Linked DNA regions of Schizosaccharomyces pombe. The gene in region 1 interacts genetically with each later gene. Each region holds a gene or a part of one and is shown in the gene's direction. Other genes may lie near its edges.

Region 1 (10,330 bases):
GAAGCAAGGGATTGTTGTATCCGTTTTGAGCAAACTGGTGATATATCAGACTTAAATCAGGCCTGGGACTTATATTACCAAGTTTTCAAGAAAATTCGTAAACAGCTACCTCAGTTGACAACATTAGATTTACAATACGTTTCTCCTAAACTCTTACATGTACATGATCTTGAGTTAGCTGTTCCGGGAACATACGTTAGCGGGAAACCTGTTATAAGAATTGTAAAGTTTTACCCTACATTCAACGTGATAACATCTAAGCAACGTCCGAGACGACTGAGTATTAAAGGCAGTGATGGAAAAGATTATCAATATGTTTTAAAGGGTCACGAGGACATCAGACAAGATGAACGTGTTATGCAGCTATTTGGGCTTTGTAACAATCTGTTACTAGCTGACCCGGAAACTTTTAAGCGCTTACTTTCAATCCAAAGGTATCCAGTGATTCCTTTATCACCGGATTCAGGCCTTTTAGGCTGGGTTTTGGATAGCGATACTTTGCATGTCTTAATTCGTGACTACAGAGAAAGCAGAAAGATTTTACTCAACATAGAACATAGGTTGATCATTCAGATGGCTCCAGATTACGATCGTCTCACTCTCCTTCAGAAAGTTGAAGTCTTTGAATATGCCCTACTTAGTACTACGGGGCAGGATTTATACCGCGTTTTATGGCTGAAGAGTCGTAGCTCAGAAGCTTGGCTTAATAGGCGAACTAACTATTCTCGTACTCTTGCGGTGATGTCAATGGTAGGGTACATCTTAGGTTTGGGCGATCGTCATCCTTCCAATTTGATGCTGGACAGGTATACAGGTAATATCATCCATATCGATTTTGGAGATTGTTTTGAAGTAGCAATGCATCGAGAAAAGTTTCCCGAGAAGATTCCTTTCCGCCTTACGCGAATGCTTGTTAACGCAATGGAAGTTAGTGGTATAGAGGGGACGTTCCGGATAACATGCGAACATGTTATGCGAGTTCTTCGTACTAATAAGGAGTCTGTGATGGCAGTTTTAGAAGCTTTCGTTTACGATCCTCTTATTAACTGGCGCCTTGCTCCTGCATATTCACCTTCTATCGATGAAAAGCAATCTAACGAACCTAATACACTTCTCGGTGAGACAATTGATGGTTTACACCGGAAACGCTTAAACGAAGAAGGAATTACACTTGAAGAACGTCAAAAACCCGAGATACTCAATCAAAGAGCTATAACCGTTCTTAATCGTGTGTCCAATAAACTTACTGGTCGGGATTTCAAACCCCAACAGCAATTGGATGTACCAAGTCAAGTAGAGAAGCTGATTTTACAAGCAACCTCTATAGAGAACCTATGCTTGTGCTATATTGGCTGGTGTAGTTTCTGGTAGGTGACAGTCCCAAACGTTCAAATTGCTTTTCTGCCGCATCATATATATATTCTATATTAAATAAAGTGTAAATAGTCTTTATGAATGAGTCCTGTAACAATTTATTACGTTGTTTTACAATTTTACAAAATAGAGGAAATGTTGAATTTGACGCAGAATTTTTAGAATTTTGTAGTAGAGAATGCATCTCTTTATATTGTTATTAAAGATTTGCTGCTTAATCATTCTGAAAATAATAAACTCTAAATTTCTACATCTGAAATTGTGAAAATTATTGAAACTAAATTCTAATTATGCATTGTACAAGTTAGGTAGCAAATTCGTTTTGTTGAGTCCATATTATCGAATTTTATAATATAATACTGAATGCCATTTTAATGCGATTTAAATTATAAAGTGTTTTACTTTACACACATTTTTTTAAAAATCCAAGTTATTTTGAAAAGTTAAATATTGTTTTAAAAATTTATTATTCATTGTTTACTGTCACCACCCCTCTTCACGTATCTACAATCAAATTTACTTATCTTAAAAGAATACGATTATTCATGAACATAATTAATATCGCTTAATTATTAAAATTTATTTAATTTCTTAAATTTGGTTTATTTATCGACGCATACCGACAATACAAAAAAAAGGAACTTGAGAGCTTTTGATTTAACAAATCAACTTGAATGGAATTAGATGAGGTGATTCAAGGCATTGTTTCTGCCATTGGAGGATTTGACTATTCAGACGATGAAAAAGTGTACGTTCTTGGTGATGAAGCTTTGGCTTGCCTAAAGGATCTGAAGCGCTATCTTCAAGTAGTCGATGAAAAGTACAAAGTTTGGCAAATTCGATCTTTGCTCTCGAGCTTACAGTTGGTAACTAATGATATATGTCCAATACTCTCTGACTGGGATAAAGACATTACTAATTACAGAAACTGGCGTATCGCTTTAGCTTGTGTTGAGCTTCTTGTACCATTAACATGGCCTTTGGAGACTGAGCATGAAACATTCAGAGAAAATGTTGATGTTCTCTATAATCTGCGTCAAGCTCAATCAAATTATAAAAATTCAATTTTATCTTACAAGAAGGGGAGCGTTTTATCCGCCATTTTAGCTGTTTTACTAAAGCCCTTAAGTACTCCCGCAGAATCCAGAACACTTAGAGACAAGGGAATAATCAGGATAGTGCTGTTACTATTTCGAAACATTCTTCAAATCGATGAATTAAAAACAAAAAATGAAACAATTATCTCGTTTGCGAAAGCTCATATATTAGATTTGATTGTCACACTGGTCTCGAATCTCGATGAATTTGAGCATTTTGATGTTTACATATTAGAAATAGTCTACAACTTGATCAGAGGTTGTAAGCCATCAGCCCTTTTCTCTGATGCCTCATTGACTAACTCTCAAACCGAACTTAATAGCTTACTCCTCAAAGAGTCGACCCAAAATCGCTATTTGAAACGAAATGCACATACGAGGCATAATAGATTTGGAACCATGCTTTCTGTTCAAACTGAAGACAGAAGATTTACTATTGCTAGCCAAAATATAAAAACCGACGGCCTTGATGAGCTTGACTCTCATAAGCGTTTTCGAAAACGAGGAACACGTCGAAAACATTTTGTATGTACTTAGTTAAACACGATGTTTGTTTAAATTTTTTTTTCCAATTCAACTATTCTATTCTAACAATATTAGGATGACATAAACAAATCGTTCTTTATCAATACCGAGGCAGGTACTGCATTAAGGAACTTTGCTGTCGAATTTTTGGAAGCTGGATTCAATCCATTATTTCAGTCTCTCTTAAAAGACTTGGAAAGAGAAGATCCTCGTGTGCTTCCAATTCATAAAATGCAATTATTATACGTTCAGTCATTTTTTTTGGAATTCATGAGATTTTCGTCTAAACCAAAAAAAACAGAAGAAATTTACTCTAATGATTATAGTTTTGGCTTAGCAGCCTCCGTTTTTGACCAACGAGCTTTGATTATGCACAACAGGTTAATGGTAGAATCCTTTGAAATGAAACAATGGAGCACCTTCCAAGCATCCATGCTTTCGATGACTCAATTACTTTTCACTCTTCGAAGTATGACACTTTGTTCCTCAGAAATTTACCAAAGAATTGCCGATAATCTACTAAGCAATATCTTTTACCAAGAGGAAATTCTTTTACTTGTTTATAGCGCTTTAAAGCATTTTAAAACTCAGTCCTTTGGGTATTTAGATGCAATAACTGAGCTAACTATAGTGCTATTAAAGGAGCTTGAGAAATTTAGCAGTGCTAAACAATATCTCTATGTGAAAAAGAGAAGGAGAAATCAGAAATCTGTTGATAGCAATGTCTTGGAATCGGATGAAGATGAAGAAAGCAGCTTGATTAATGCTAATGCAGCCGTTGAGGACCGTCTGTTTGATTTCGGCAGATATGAGTCTAGGTACTGTGATAATGGATGTATTGATAGTTTCGTGCTGTTCCTTCAATGTTACCAAGATCTGGATTCAAAACAAATTCATAGGGCTATTTCCTTTTTTTACCGCATTTTCGTGAAGCAAAAATGCCATGTTTATTTGTATCGTCTCGATTTCCTACGTGTTCTGGACAAAATGTTTAATGACCATGTCTATTTTTCTACTACAAATTCAGCAAGACAGGATTTTGAACAATTTTTTGTATATTATATGCGAAAGCTTTCAGATGCATTAAAAGATGTACCAGCACTTTTTATTGAGTTGCCTTTCCCAAAATTAACCGACACATTTTATTATCTGGAATATGGAAAAAGTCCACTTTTCTCTATTCATGGTTCGAGAAAAGGCCCGTTATACGAGACGGTGCCTGGCTTATCACATTTGGAAAAGGTGGCTGCCGTTGTTGCATGCCTTATAAATGAAAACAAAAGTGATTTATTAGATGAATTGAAAGTTCAACTTAATTGCCTCATTTCAGAAAGAAAGCTAATAACGCTAGCTGACGAGAACAAATATATAAATGAAGGTGGAAATGATGGTGAAAGAATGGGGAAGAATTTGAAAGGAGACACAGATTCATTTAATACGGCCCTTTTGAAAGACGGAAAATTTCGTCTATTATTAGAATTATGTGGATTCGAAGAATCAGATAACAATATAGACGTTCAAGCACTATGGAAATTACCAAATTCTGTTATAATTGATGAACTTGTTGAGCATGCCATGTTGTTGAGAAGGTTTACTGATGATCCGCCGACGTTTGAAGGCACCAAGCCCGAAGATTTATTAGTGAGGAAGCAAAGAGGAAATGTTCGTTTACCATCAAGTAGTGAGGGTGAAACATCTGACGAAGAAATTGAATTTGAAGCAGATGATCCTATAACTTTCGCCAATCGTCGAGAAGCGTTAAATAAGATTACTGACAGAAAACGTAAAAAGATGAAAACTAACGAAACTATTATTGACCATACAACTCGAAAGAAAAAGGAAAACCATTTACGATCTGCAAAATATATTGTTGATTCGGATGATGACTCAGAAACAGATATAGCTTTTTTTCAATCAGAAGCTGCTTTACGAGAGAAAAATGCACAAAAAGCCAGTGCCCTATTTAAGCGAATCGACGATTTAGAAATGGAAGGAAAATTACAAGAAATTGAACAACTCAGCGAGAATTCTTCATCGGATTAATAAATAAAATATCTTCGATTCAAATCATAAGTTTAATAATGGGTAGCTTGTTCATTGAAATTTTTGTTAGTAAAATGCTAGAAATAAGCAGCCCAACCAATGTACATTTCTACCAGGTTTTTTGGGTTGACAGCAGATTTGATCAATTCTTGAATTTGCCCTTCAATAGATAAAGGTATCGTCTCCCCTGGCATAAAGCCTTGAAATTTTTTGCGAATTATATCCAAAACTTCATTTGCTTCATTATTCGGGTACTTGCTTGACGACTTCTTTCTATTCCACTCGACTAAAGGATCATGTAGGAAAGACTCTAGTACGCTCATCAATGTATCTTGGTTTGAGCGAAGAAGCCGCATCGTTATTTCGCTAGCTTTCCTGAAACCCCCTTCATAACCTGTCGGACCCATTGCATCTACCATATTATGAGTTAATCTGAACGGCACCTTTTCAGGTTTTTCAAAAGTAAGACCTTTATCAAAAAGACAGTTGAAATCGACATGGATAGCTTCACCTGTAAATTCATCAAACAATATGTTTTCGCCATGGCGATCTCCCAAACCCAAAACGTAGCCAACTATTGACATTACTGCTAAAGTTCGGCAATAGTTTTGTCTACTAGTAACCCAATTATTTGGTTCTGGGAAAGATTCAACAAACCACTCATAAAAAACTGGAGGAAATTTCGGTAAGATTTTCTTTTCAAATATATCACCAGGGTTAGGACTTCGCAGTGCAAAGTCTAAATCAACTTTGATTTCTTGATATGATATGGGAATGTTTTTCTGTCTATAGCTTTTTAACAAAATTTCTCTAAATGGACGAGTATGATTTACCCATTCGATAAATCCGCATTCTTCATTTAAAGGAATAACAACATAAGTTCTAATACACAAGTTCCTTCTGTTCGCTTCTTGATCTTTCCTCAATATTTTACAAATAAGATTATTAAATTCCATCAATCTAGCATCCTTACGAAGATCATCTTTGGGTTTGCACAAGAATGGGTATAAGTTGCCATCCGTACCTCTAACGTACACTTTTCTTGGTTTTTGAAGAGAGTTCATTATATCCACCTCATCCTCAAATTTCAACAGAGTAGGCTGAGTTTTTGGAAATGGATAATGACTAGCTCTGTTAGCATCTTTAGCTGGTAAAGTAATGTCTAAAAATGATTTAGCAGGAATGACTAAATCTACCGGATCATCAAAAGAAAGCCGAAAATGATCCTTTAAGCTCATTTTTACAGATTTACTGTTAATCCTTGTATTGCACAAATTGATTAACTTTTCAGTAATGAGAATTGCAGATTGACTGAGTGCTTTTATATCAACTTTGGAAGACATAGAAAGCTTCCTAGAATGTAAAACATTTAAAATGCTTTTTCCACGAAGCGAGCGCTTTTGAGAAGTCGATTTTATTGTTGCCATTAATTGCCATAGCGTCTCCCCAGGATAAGATGCTACAACGTTTGCAATTATATGTTCCAAAATTTTATAAACTTTATTATTTGGATGGCATACTCTGGATATCATTTGGGATAATGCAACCAGAAAAAAGTATTGAGGAATTTTCATAGAAAGGCGACAAACATTCGAATTCATAAGTTCCAAAGATTTTTTTCTCGAAGAGATAATGTGTTCACGAAAGTACTTTTCGCCGTCATCTTTAGATAAGCGAAGTTCTTCGGCCCCAAAATCAAGCCACAGTGTGAGCAATTTTGGCATACTTTCATATATATGATTTGTACCATAGTACAAAGATCGACCAAATTCGTTAATTATGCGAGTTACTAACTCACCACTTAAAAATCGTTCGCTCTGTTCATTAACTGGGAGCTTTTGTTCTTCTTCATACATTAAAACTCGATGATGGCCAAGATAATAATGCGTATTCTCACATTCTGAGTAAATCTCTACCGCTTTATGATAATACGTCTCCAAATCCTTCAATCCCAGTTGGCCAGCTTTTCCGAGCCATTTTGTAAGTTTCAAGAACACTTTTCCTTTAAGTGGATTTCCTAAAGTTTCTTTACGATTTTTAGGTCTTTCTTCATGCTCATCAACCAAATCAAACATGTTGTTATTAAGCGAAAAATTCAATTCAGAAATAGCTTTACGATGTTGCCCTTGATGCCACCACCATTGTGCGTGCTCTATTGTTGCTAGCGGTTTATCTAAATCCATTGCTTTGAGGATGGCATTGAAGGCTCTTTGAAATTGACCATTTTTTCGAGATATTCTTGCAATCTCGAGATATATTTCAGCAGTTTTCTTCGTGTTTTCAAATTTTTCATAGCCAACTAAGTGAGTGGACAGGATTTGGTGCTTGAATTTACCGTACGGAGCTACTTGGCTAAGCCGACGGCGAAGAACAATATCAAGATTGTCGGAAACAATTCCGTCAGTTTCAGCAATCCTACTAAAGTCATTAATTGCGTGCAGCTTAGATAAAATATCATAACAATCATAGGCTGAATGGGCGCCTGTGTTTGCAATTGCTGTAGCAGCATCAACGTACAAGGGTTGCAGCCGCTCCGTCAATTCAGCAAAAGAATCCTTCCGTAGGTATTGGTAAAATATGCTACCCAATTTAGCTTCGAAAGATTCCAAGTTGCTTTTTGAAAGACACTTTTTTAACGAATCAATAGATAGCGAACGCCATGAAGCTTCAATACCCAAATTTAACATCTTCGAATACTCGTGGTTGTCATTGATTATAAAAGAATCTAAACTCAAAACAAGAGATTCATAATGCCCCGATTGCAGCATGCTGTTAAGCAAACCGATTTTCGCCTTTTTATTTTCAGGATCCTTTTGAATAATAATTTCGTAACAACTCAAAGCCGAGTCCCATGTTCCTGAATTTTCATGTAAAAGGAGTTGTTGATCAAACGAGTAATCATGGAAATTTAAAGACACTGCTTCGATTTCATCTGGATCATCAATTCCAGCATATATTTCCTGCAAAACTCTATAATCGGACTCTAAAGCTGCATATGGAGCTGTAGCATTACGTATGTGTTGCTCCCAATAAAACAATGCACGAGCATGAAATCCACAATTTAAAGAGACAATACCTAATGTTTTTGAAGGAAATCGAGAAAGAAATGACTCAACTTTTGAGATCGATGATTCTCGAGAGGTAGCATCTTCCACCGACATATAACGGTTCTCTTTCCTTGCAATGGCAGAACGTCTATCCCAATTCCTCTTCTTTCGCATGCGAAGCCATTTGTTAAGGTAATCCACAATCTTAAAAAATACATCTACAAATGAGGTGTATCTTTGTTGCCCCACGGAATTTAATCCATCAGGTCCCGGTTGATTAATAACAAGCTGGAATTCTTCAATGACTTTATTAACTTCCAGTTCTGACTCGGTTAAAATAACATTTAAAACAAGAAAGGGAAGAAGAAAACAGGGAATGTTAACCTCTTGGTCTTTCACTACTTTCGAACAAATACCAAATATTTTTTCAGCGTTTTGCGAATGGGCGTACTCCATCAATTTAAGAGAAAACAACTGCATCCAAGTATGAATAGTAACATTTTCTTTATAAATAGGGTACCGAATGTCAATTTTGGGGATTGGTGTTAAATGATACTTGGAAGTTAAAAATGGTATAAGCACACGTTTGGATAAATCAGGCAAAGACATCCAATGTTCTGTTACCACAGTTAGTCCCTTTTTTTTATTAATCACTGCGGACTTGAATCCACCAAGCTTTAGAAACTCTTGCAGAGCATAGGCAAGAAAACCTTGTGCTTTAGTATCAGTAGTAACAAGGAAAGCTGGAATTAACTGCGATTGCATAAAATCTAGAATAAACTTCAAACTTTCTTCTCCGTTTTCAAAGTTATCAAGAACAACTGTTTCTTTAATAATATGTTGAGCCTTGGCGCGGCTGGGATCTATCGCACCCAATTCACCAAGATTTTTTGCAGCAAGATATGATATTTGCATATTTGTTGAAGCATATTTTACACAACAATCTAAAAGGCATCTTAGTAATTGGTCCAGAACTTCGTTGGATATGTCCAAATTTAGTGTGTCATGTAACTCGTCCACCTTGGCTTGAAAAAAAAGTTCTAATTTTTGTAAACCTAAATAACAAACTGGCTCATTTTCGTTAGTTAAACACTTAATTATACTTTGAAGCTCAGAGTAAAAATCTTCATTTTGAAGCGAACAGAATATTTCTTTAGCCTTAAGGCTAAAGCACGCTGAATCCAGACTGGTGGGGATAGCCCACTTTAATCCTTGTAGGCACTTGTGTGTGTCAGAAGAAATAAAATCAAATATTTGAATTACTAGCTCTGCTTCTTGTGGTTCTAAATAAGGGAATAAAGGAGGTAAAATTACAAGACTTAAACCAGCAATTGAACTATACTCGGGCTCCTTGGTTGCTAATATCAAACTGAACCAAGCTTTGATTGCATAAAACCTTAAGTGCTCATTTTGAAAAGCACTTTGTAAATTAGAAAGTATCTGTGGTAATCCAAGTTTGACTGCACCTCCACATAAAGATAACATTTTTTCAATGCCGACAATTGTCTTAATCTTTTCATTAATTGAAGTCTTTCCTTTCAGGTCGTTAAGGATATTAGAAAATTCTGCTAAGATACCCAAAATGTGATTATTAAAAAAATCATAAAGTAATTCCTTATTGCTCAAGTCTTCGTCATTAACCACTTGAGAGACAATCATTGCTACCTTTCTTAAAGCATTTTCAATTTTTTCATGAGGAACATCATTCTGATAAAGCTGTAACAACTCCACAGTAATAGAAATAGGATCAGAGCGTAACAAAGACGTTAAATCAACTTTTTCAAAATCAGAAGTGGCCAGTGAAAGAAGAAGCATCACACTCTCTTCCAAATTAGGATGATCCGTAGTAAGTAGCGAAGCAAGGATTTTATGCATATTGGTAAGGCACAAAGTAGCAACATCACTTTGTGAAAGTTCAGCTATACGTACTATTAACGCTTTGTTTTTAGTAAGTACAAGGAATGGTAAAGTGTACGCCTGTGTTCGAATAAGAAAATCGCCCTCGGAAATATTCATAAGCTGAGCAAATAAACTGGCTATGTTCGGTTTTTTACCCATACCTTGGACAATCGCAACGGACACTGTTGGCCAATATGGAGAAAGTAATTGCCAAACGGATATATGACGCGTCGAGGCAATTTGTTGCAGAGCGCTGAGACCAATGCCTTGATAAAATATTCCGCTGTTTATCACAGAAGATATAACTTCCAATAGTACAAAATGTAATTCTTCTTCTTCTACCAC
Region 2 (5,640 bases), on another chromosome or scaffold:
TTTTTTATTTTCCAGTCGTTATACAAGGATCGTCGTAAACTAAGATACAACAGGGTAAGTTACTCATCGCTTTCAGGTAAACAAGAACACTGTCTTTTTATGATGATTCATTTTGAATTCGGACACAAAAAGCAGAAACGGGAGACCCAAAGAAATCAAGCTTTTCGTACTACTTCAAACCGGAGGAATTAAGTCTTAAACGGTTCAATAATGCATTTAATATGGGCAGAAGCACATAACGATATCCCACACTAGGAAAGCCCAAAGCAAGGCTAATTAATCCAAGCAACGAACCAAACGTCAAACTAAACATCAACGAGAATAAAAGTACAATTAGGCTAAATTTAAGAAATACACTTTGATGTTTAAACCATTGATAGCCCTCTTTGGATACCTCTTCAATAGACGAGTAGCTATAGCGCGACATAAGACTAGGACGACCATCATTTTCTAGATGTGGAGATTGCCCAATTGGAGATTCATCCTTCAATTCTCTTTTGATATCGATATTCTGTTCAGTCATTTTGTTTTGTGGCAATTTAGTTTAATATTCAATGTGTTCCAAAAGAAAAATAAACGTTAATAAAGGTAACTGTTGTATTATTAGACAATAGTCCTTAGCAATCTATTTAAATGTAACAATTGCTTTAGTAATTTATACTTTTTCTCTTTTAAAGTCAGTGAACCGTTGTTGGGAAAAGTCAAGAATCAAGGTTAGAAACATATACGTATTCATTTTATTTACGCCTTCCCCCACATTGGATATTGCCAACAATGAACAATGACATTAAACTTCTGCAGAGGCGAAAATAATGCTATACATTCATTTTATTTATTAAAATGATTTATGAGCGAATTGCCTTCTTCCAACAGTCAAACTCGAATTCCCCTTCACTAAAACATACGGGAACTGTTTTGCGCAGTGTCCACTATTGGGAAATGGAAAAATCGAATTTGCTAGACGAATATGGATGGAATTCTTGTCTATTCCTTTTTCTATTTTTTGTTTGATTTTTTAAATAAATTAGCTTGTTTATCGAATTTATCTGGATGGGGTTTATCGTTAAAAAAAAACACCCTACCCAAAAAAAAAAAATTTATTTATTTTTATAAGTATTTTTATTCATTAACCTTCTTCTGGCATACGAGTCACAATCAACCTTTTAATTTTGACAATAATATAATAGAAATAAAATAAATTTTCAGTCGTGGTAATTTCTATTACATATTCGTTTAATGTAATGTGTTTTGACATTACTAAAATGGGATGAAAACATCCTTTTACGAGTCTATTTAATCATACAGAAAAAATGGCATTGAAGATGCAATTAATGAATGGAATTCATTTGATAAATGTATTCAATGGAAGGATAATGCTTCCAAAATAAGGATGGTCAAAATTTAACTCAAGATTGTTAAAACAAGGTTGTAATCGGAGTTTTCCGTTTTATTGAAAAACATATCCCCTTATGTCTTATGACTATTTTAATTGAATAACATAATTCAAATGCCTTTTGTTGCCTTCTATGCACATATGTGAACGTAAATCTAGCGCATCATTTTATAATACAGTTAGTAGGCCGAAACATACAAGCATATAACAAAGATAAATCAACTTCTTCGAGGAAGCATATTCCCTTGATCATGCTCAACAGTTTCTAACTTCAATACAAGCTTTTTTTATTCATTTATTTAACTATTTGTTGCTACACATACTAGTTTGTTTATGTATCATATTCATTGTCGGCATGGCAACGTGGATTTATTTACGCGCAGCGCGTACTCATTTAACCAGCACCACGTATATTCATTTTTACAAATACCCAGCTTATATCGTAGTGAGGAGGCGAATTTTGCGAAAGAAAGCATTTCTTTCATTTTAATATTTATTAATTTTTTGTTTATTTTTGTTCTTTTTTGATTCCCCTCTTTTTTTTGTCTTTACTCTTTAATTTCTTTCTATCTTTTTCTCCTAATCATATTAAGCTTCTTATGTTCTATTCAGAGGCCATTCTTTCAAAAAAGGTATGTAGTTTATAAGTTTTCTTTAGCGCGTAAACAGTGCTAATTTGTCTTTGAATCGTCTGACTAACTGTTCGCGTTAGGGTCCTTTGGCCAAGGTATGGTTGGCAGCTCACTGGGAAAAGAAACTTTCCAAAGTGCAAACTTTGCACACCAGTATTGAGCAAAGCGTCCATGCAATTGTCACGGAGGAAACCGCTCCAATGGCCCTTCGCCTATCAGGACAACTAATGTTGGGTGTTGTTCGCATTTATTCCAGAAAGGCTAGGTATTTATTGGAGGATTGTACGGAAGCGTTGATGCGTTTGAAAATGTCCTTTCAACCGGGTCAGGTTGATATGATTGAACCAGCTACTGCTCTCCAATCTTTAAAAGGTAAAGATGCTGTGACACAGAGCGCTAATCTCACTCTTCCTGAGACAATTACAGAGTTTGATCTTTTGGTACCTGATAGTACATTTGATTTTCAATGGTCTCAACTTCTTCGTACACCCTCTCGTTCTTCGAACACTCTTGAACTACATTCTTTACCAATATCTTCCTCTCCTTCTTTTCCATCTTCCCAGCTATCAATTGAGGCTGGACGAAATGCCCAAGTAGAATCAGGGTTTTCCTTGGGCGAATCATTCGCACATGTTGGCAATGATATGCAGTTTCATCTTCCCATTTCAAATTCCGGTGCTGCTACACCTAGAAGTGTGCACTCTGATAATCAGTCCCAAATTTCTATAGAAGTAGGTAGAGATGCTCCTGCTGCTGCTGCCACCGATTTAAGTGGAATTATTGGGCCTCAAATGACTAAGTCGCCGGCTAGTTCAGTCACTCATTTTAGTACGCCAAGCATGCTACCAATAGGAGGAACTTCATTGGATGATGAATTGTTGGCTCCTGTTGATGATTTAAACCTGGATTTGGGCTTAGATGATCTTTTAGGAGATGAACAAGGTGCTAATGCTCCGGCGATAGAGGCTGATGAACAAGCTGAAACATCAAGTATTCATCTCCCTTCTGACATTATGGAAGATGATTCATCTCGTCCTGCAGCAGCAGGAGTAGAGGAAGGTCAGGTTGTTGAAAGCGCCACTGCTCCTCAACAGGAAAAGATCAATCCACAGAAAACTGTACGTCGTCAACGTGCAATTATTGATCCCGTTACTGAATTGTCCTCCAAGCAAATGAAAAAACAATTGGCAGATACATCTTCCATCACCTCACCGTTATGCTTGAATACATCTTCCATCGTGTTTAATGCCACCGTTAATTTTACTCGAAACGGTAAATTTAATACTTCCATATTTTCTTCCAACCTGAACCCTAAAGTAAACGAGCTTTTGCAAGCTGATTTCAAACAGGCAATTCTAAGAAAGAGAAAAAATGAGAGCCCAGAGGAAGTCGAGCCTGCCAAGCACCAACGTACTGATACCTCAACTGAAAACCAAGAAACTGCTGAAGTCTTGGACCCTGAAGAAATTGCAGCCGCTGAGCTTGCCAACATTACTGAAGCCGCTATCGCTACTTTACCACAAGAAACCGTTGTTCAACCAGAAGGAGAAGCTCCTGAGCTTGGTTCGCCAATGGGATTTCCTGTTACTGCCTTGGAATCAGCCGATGATTCACTTTTTGACGCTCCTCCCGTAATGCTGGACGAGGCCGATTTGCTGGGAAGCGAACGATTGGACTCTTCGGTATCTGAGGCCCTTCCTAGTTCACAAACAGCCAAAGATTCTCTACGCAATAAGTGGGATCCTTATACTGAAGGTGAAAAAGTATCCTTCCAAACTCTTAGTGCGGGATGCAATAGAGAGGAAGCTGTTCAACTTTTCTTTGATGTCCTCGTTTTAGCGACGAAGGATGTTATATCTGTCAAGCAGGATGTTGCCATTCAGAACGAAATCACGCTTACTGCTAAACGTGGAATGCTACTTTCATCACTATGAGAGGTCGGTTAATATTTTTTCAAAATCCAATTAGATCTATAAATAAGTGTGAATACTTACACGAAATAGATTTTTATGACAGTAATATTGTTCATTGCTTTCTTTTATCTTTATTTTATTTTTGGAATCACGAGTTGTATGTCTTTCTTTTTCCGAGTTACGATATTACTGTTGGATGTATGTAATATTATCAGCTCAACACAAAGTTATGATTAGAAATAGCTTACGCGCTTTTTAATTTATTCTCAATGATTGATCTATCTCTTAAAAATCTTCCTTTCAATGCGATGATACGGGTTTACTAGGATTGAATATATAAAGACAATATGATCATATTATATTAGGCGTATCTTTTTTGTACCCAATGGTTGAGAATTTGGAAGCGAGGAAGCTACGGTAACTTGCATACCTTTGGAGCGCGCCCAATCTATTGCATCTCTAGAAACAGAATCACAATTAATAATATCTATACGTTTTAATTCTTTCAGTCCTCGTAAAACTGCTATAAATCCCGATCCATCGAGGGATATTGAATTTGAAAAGTTCACATACTTTAGATTTGGACAACAATCAGTAATGTGTATTGCATGCTTATTTTGAAGAGCAACGTTATCAGGAATCTCAAGATGCTCAAGTTCCGGTAAAGATGCAAATATTTCAAAGAAATGGGGGGCCAATGCTAGCGAATCGTGTAGAACCAGCTTTTTTAGTTTGTAACAAGAAGTCAAAAATTTGACAACATTATCGATATCATTTTGAGATAAACGAAGATAAAGAAATAACTCTAAGTTGATTAGTGATTCCATCCGGACATTTGTAGGGAATAAATATGGACATAAAATTGTAGATGCAGGATTGCAGGGTTTCACAATTAACGTGGTAAGAGATTGAGGAAGGAATGCTAGATCTTTAACAGTATTCGATACTCCTTCATCAATGATAATTAACGATCGGAGATTAATTTTATATTTTTTTATTGCAGCAACTAGGTCTGACTGATATGAGGCTTCCAGATATTCTAAATATGGACTGGCAGACAGCAAGTCTTTAAGAAATTGCTGTTCTTTATGGTGAAAGGGAAACTTTTGATTTCGGATAAACGTCAAAGATTTAAGAGCCAGCGGTACAGATTCTGCATTAAAGAGTTTATCCCAATCCATAGAATCAAATATCAAATCGGGAATTAAGTCAACAAGCTCAACCTGCTTGAGTTTCTTACAGCAAGATAAAATCTTAGAAGCTATGGAAAATGTTATAGGAGTAGCACAATAAAAGTAGTGAAGTTCAGAAAATGGCGTCCAAATTGTATACAATTTATCCGTTGACTGAGTGTGGAGAGGTGAAATGGTTTTGTAGACTTTAAGTGATTTGACTGAACGAAGTAAGGCTTTGGTAGGTGTTAATATACCAAGCTTCTCTAAGCCAATTACTTCCTGTATATTGTCTTTTGAATAAACAGAGTATCGAGCAACAGCCATAACGTTTCGATCTCTAGAGTTTACACTTCGAGGAGAGGCGCATGAAAAGTCTAAGCAACAAAATAAGCTAGGTTCTTTCTTAATACAGTCTCTCCAGTGTTTGCAGACTTGCATACACTGAACAATACTTTTGAAATTTAGTTGCTGTAGAATACATAATAGGACTTCTCGGGGAAGAATGCGAAACAAATCTAGTACCGGCC
Region 3 (4,372 bases), on another chromosome or scaffold:
TGCCAGTACAGGCGTGCCAAGCAACCTTTAGAAACGGGAATGACGGCACAAGATCTTGGGTTAAGTGAATCAGACAAAAAAATGTATCTATCAAGTTTACCTACTCCTCATCTCGCAGATCTTATTCTTTTTTGTGAAAAGTCTTATCCATCTCTTCCCATATACAACCCACGTACTCGGGAGTTGTTGGGTGAGATTCGGCATCAACTACTTGTTAGTTCTGAACGCCAACAAATATCTTTACAAGAGCGACTTCATGCTAAACAAGATGAAGCTCCCTCTGATGAGCCTGCACCTGTCCCCTATACCGCAAGTTATGTTGCGAATTCTGGAACCTTATACGACTATCCAACGTTAATACGGTTAGCTATTCGTAACACCCTCTCACCTTCCAAAGATGAAATATTTAACTGGCTTGCTCAAAACGTACCATTGTTACCAACTTTTCACGACAGCGCTTCCGAGGCCATTCGTTGGATGGTAAATAAAGGTCAACTGGTCCGTTCCGGTAGCATCTATCAAATAGCAACAGTCGAAGAATACCCTCACCTCCAACCCTCTTTACTTCCTACTTTTCAACGAAACCGTAAGGTACCTAAATTGGTGCCTGTCTCTTTCCCCACCGATGATCCTCAAAATTTATGTGCTACTGTTTTATGAAACTGAACAAATTTTTCTAAATGTATAGACAAAAAAAATTTCTTTACTTCCCGTTTTTAATTAAACGGTTGCGTCCCGTTAATCTCGAAATAAATTTATAAGCGGTCGAAAGCAATGTATCATTACACCATGTATTAGCTGCAAATCAAAGTACTTTAGTATTTCCTTCATGGATTCAAACTTTTCACTCGATAACAAATCTAGGGAAAATACATAAATCGCCCTACACACTTTCTGTTTACATTATAAACTTTTCGTTTGGAATGTTTCCTCGCCATGAAATCTTAAAATAAAATAAAATAAGGAAATGAACAATTTCTCAATTTAGCAATAATTAAGAAAGTCAATGAAGTATAATAAAAAATAATTATTTTTAAAGTATGACTTACAACCATTATTATCGGTCAATGTCAGGGTGTTACAGCGCACCTTCTACTTACCACCAAAGATGAGGTCCACGTTGGCTAGCGCTCAGAAAGCAGCCGTACGTATTCCAAAGGGCTTTGTATTTCCTGTTCCAAAAGTAAAAAGTGCTCCTAAGGTTTCAGACACGCACCCTTTGTGGAATTTCTTTCGGGACAAGCAAGCCCTTCCACCACCATCGGAAGAGGCTAAATTCGGTAGAGCATGGGCTGCAGAAGAGCTTCGTTGGAAGTCTTTTAATGATCTACATGGACTTTGGTACAATTGTCTCCGAGAGAAGAACCTATTGTTCACACAAAGGGCTGAAATGAAACGCTTACAGTTGACTATTCCCAAAGCCTCAAATGAGCGTGTACTTGCAGTCAATAAAACCATGGCAGCTATCAAATTTGTCCTATGGGAACGCCAAAGAGCATATACTTCTGCCAAGCAGCTCGAGAAACAAAAGGGATCTTCTTAAACCCCTTCCTTTTAGGAAAACAGAAAATCATCCAAGTATGGCTTTATTATGATCTAAAGCTTCATCATTTCACAAACTTTCTAAAAATATACCCTAATACACGAGAAACTGTTTTATAATGATGATAATGATTTTTTATTTTGTTCACCTATAATTGTTTTCTTTATTTTGTTTATACTGATCATAAAATCTCGGTTGTCCCGGCAACCATGCTAATGTCTTTACACGAAATTTAGGAAATCGCATTCTATCCACATCCATTTGTTTAGACTTTTGTTTCGTGTGACAATCGATAATTTGAATGAAATAGTTTTTTTCTTTGTTTTTCGGATCCATGGATTGTGGAAATCCGCTGTTTTTACAATGGATACAGGAGTGGATGGAAGAGTCGACGCGTCGCTTCCCCAAGTCATATCAAACCTGGAGAAAGGTAGGAAATTTATTGGATTAGTGAAAAACTCTTTGAAAAATAAATAATTTAAATATTAAATTAATAATGACTGTAATTTTTCGAAAGCTTTTATAGCTTCGTACTCCATAAATATCATAACAATCACTGTTGTTGTTGTTTTAAATAAGAAACCGTGCTAATAATTAGGCCTACGATTCAATGAAAAGTTGCCCCATCACATTTCATCGTCCTTCTCAGGCATTGGCACTGAAGGGAATTGGCCCTACGATTTGTGCCAAGCTAGAAAAGAAATGGAACGCTTACTGTTTGGAAAATAATATTCCAATTAGCACGCACAATGAACAGAATGATTCTCATGTCAATGCTAATAAATCGTCTTCTGAGACTTCTTCTGAAAAGCCTCGAAGCGTTAAAAAACCGACTACAAGAAAGAGAAAGGTCTATGTTCCGAGCTATCGTTCTGGTGCATATTCAATTCTTTGCGCTCTTTATATGCTTAATAAACACGAATTCGCTACAAAGCCTCAAATTGTTACGATGGCCCAACCGTATTGTGATTCGTCCTTTGGATCTGCTACAGACCGAAACATGCGTTATACTGCATGGAGTGCTATGAAGACTTTGATCACAAAAAATTTAGTTTACCAGACAGGTCATCCCTCTAAGTACTGCTTGACCGACGATGGTGAAGAAGTTTGCATACGTTTGGCAAAAGTAGACGATTCCTTTCAACGGAAACATACTGTATCAAACTTTTCTGTCTCTAAATCCGATGATCATGATTCCTCTTTATGCCAACCTCCAAATTTTGTTACATCAATCAATAAAGCAGGAAGTTCTTCAGACCACGGAGGTGAACTACATGTTACTTACTGTCCGGTAGATCATAATGAAGTTTCTGATGGTGTTGAAACCGATATAGATGTTGATCAGGTGGATTCGTTGACCGGAATTCATGATCACCATATCATTAACAATGAGCAGTTGATTGACTTGACGGAACAAGAAAAAAAGCAACCAAATGAAAGCAATTTGTCTAACTTAAAAATCGAGACGGTATTATTCTCAAACTGTACGGTTTTTCTTCTGATTGATACTCGAGAAATACGTTCTCCCTTGGATCGCAATCTTATTATCGATAAACTGACTAATGACTTTGGTGTCAATTGTCAGGTACGATCATTAGAATTGGGAGATGCTTTATGGGTTGCAAGGGATATGGAAAGCGGTCAAGAAGTTGTGTTGGATTTTGTCGTTGAAAGGAAAAGATATGATGATTTAGTTGCTTCCATTAAGGACGGAAGATTTCACGAACAAAAGGCACGTCTAAAGAAGAGCGGAATACGTTCAGTCACCTACATTTTGGAGGAATCCTCTTATGATGAAAGTTTCACGGAATCAATTCGTACAGCTGTTAGCAATACCCAAGTCGATCAATTATTTCATGTCCGTCATACGCGATCACTTGAACACAGCGTAAGTTTGCTTGCTGAAATGACAAAGCAAATTAACCTGTTTTATGAGAAACGTAAAACCCTCGCTGTCATTCCCGATTTGTCGATAGAAGCCAAAACTTATGAGTCGTTACGAGAGCAACTTCTAAAAATTGATCCCTCAACTCCTTACCACATATCATACCATGCATTTTCCTCTGTCCTCTCGAAGTCTTCTACTTTGACCGTGGGGGATATTTTTATTCGAATGCTTATGACTATAAAAGGTATAAGTGCTTCAAAAGCCATCGAGATTCAGAAGAAATATCCAACATTCATGCATTTATTTGAGGCGTACGAAAAGTCATCATCTAGCCAGGAAAGAAACTTATTACTGAATAAGACTTGTCAAGGCTATGGTTTTCAAACAATAGGGCCAGCACTTTCCGCCAAGGTCGCAAGCGTTTTCTTTCCAGAATCTTGAGCCTTTGAACTTTTATTTATTTATGATTCATAATATTTATTCAATTTTCTTATCATTTCCCATATATTTAATTTACCTTTGCTTTACCATCGGAAATTGCGTATGTTAGTGTATTGCGGTATATAGGTAGCATCAGATTCCCTTCAAATCGTGAGTTTCTACCTAGCACTATCCATAAACAAAACCGTTACACTTGGTATTCGTTTTTGAAACTGCTGTATCATGTCACGTTTAAGAGCTCCTGTTGCTAAATTTTTAGCTGATGGATTGAAAGGAATCAGGTCTACAGCTTTGGCTGGCTCTCGATTGTCTAATTGTCGCTATACCAGTACTAGCTCGAAAGATACTGATACCTCAAGCCACATGACTCATTTTGGATTTAAAGACGTTCCGGAAGATGAAAAAGAGCACCTTGGTATGTATGGAAGAACTGGTTTGCTAGGACATGTGATTTGATTGTAAATCATAACATTTTGCATTTTGCATTTACTGAAGAAATT

The links. Genes that interact genetically often act in the same process or in processes that back each other up.
Region 2: mutations in swi1 (region 1) and rad21 are lethal when combined (synthetic lethality), as found in Schizosaccharomyces pombe (2 studies listed by BioGRID).
Region 3: mutations in swi1 (region 1) and mus81 are lethal when combined (synthetic lethality), as found in Schizosaccharomyces pombe (3 studies listed by BioGRID).

The regions. Positions count from the first base shown.
Region 1 is NC_003423.3:906,312-916,641, reverse strand, and holds swi1 (replication fork protection complex subunit Swi1), read left to right. Parts: upstream 1-1,862; 5' UTR 1,863-2,048; coding exon 2,049-2,996; intron 2,997-3,012; exon of another isoform or gene 3,013-3,071; coding exon 3,072-5,039; 3' UTR 5,040-5,116; downstream 5,117-10,330. Other genes in the region: TORC1 serine/threonine protein kinase Tor2, read left to right, coding at 1-1,371; ATR checkpoint kinase Rad3, read right to left, coding at 5,117-10,330. UniProt on the Schizosaccharomyces pombe protein: Forms a fork protection complex (FPC) with swi3. FPC coordinates leading and lagging strand synthesis and moves with the replication fork. It is required for programmed fork-pausing which is necessary for mating-type switching.
Region 2 is NC_003421.2:1,341,100-1,346,739, forward strand, and holds rad21 (mitotic cohesin complex non-SMC subunit Rad21), read left to right. Parts: upstream 1-1,793; 5' UTR 1,794-1,992; coding exon 1,993-2,025; exon of another isoform or gene 2,026-2,105; coding exon 2,106-3,959; 3' UTR 3,960-4,294; downstream 4,295-5,640. Other genes in the region: SPOM_SPCC338.18 (uncharacterized protein), read right to left, coding at 170-523; F-box protein Pof3, read right to left, coding at 4,295-5,640. UniProt on the Schizosaccharomyces pombe protein: Cleavable component of the cohesin complex, involved in chromosome cohesion during cell cycle. The cohesin complex is required for the cohesion of sister chromatids after DNA replication.
Region 3 is NC_003421.2:460,843-465,214, forward strand, and holds mus81 (Holliday junction resolvase subunit Mus81), read left to right. Parts: upstream 1-1,877; coding exon 1,878-1,973; exon of another isoform or gene 1,974-1,982; intron 1,983-2,139; exon of another isoform or gene 2,140-2,141; coding exon 2,142-3,872; downstream 3,873-4,372. Other genes in the region: PHD finger domain-containing protein Phf1, read left to right, coding at 1-660; mrpl4 (mitochondrial 54S ribosomal protein uL29m), read left to right, coding at 1,109-1,543; coq5 (C-methytransferase), read left to right, coding at 4,095-4,287.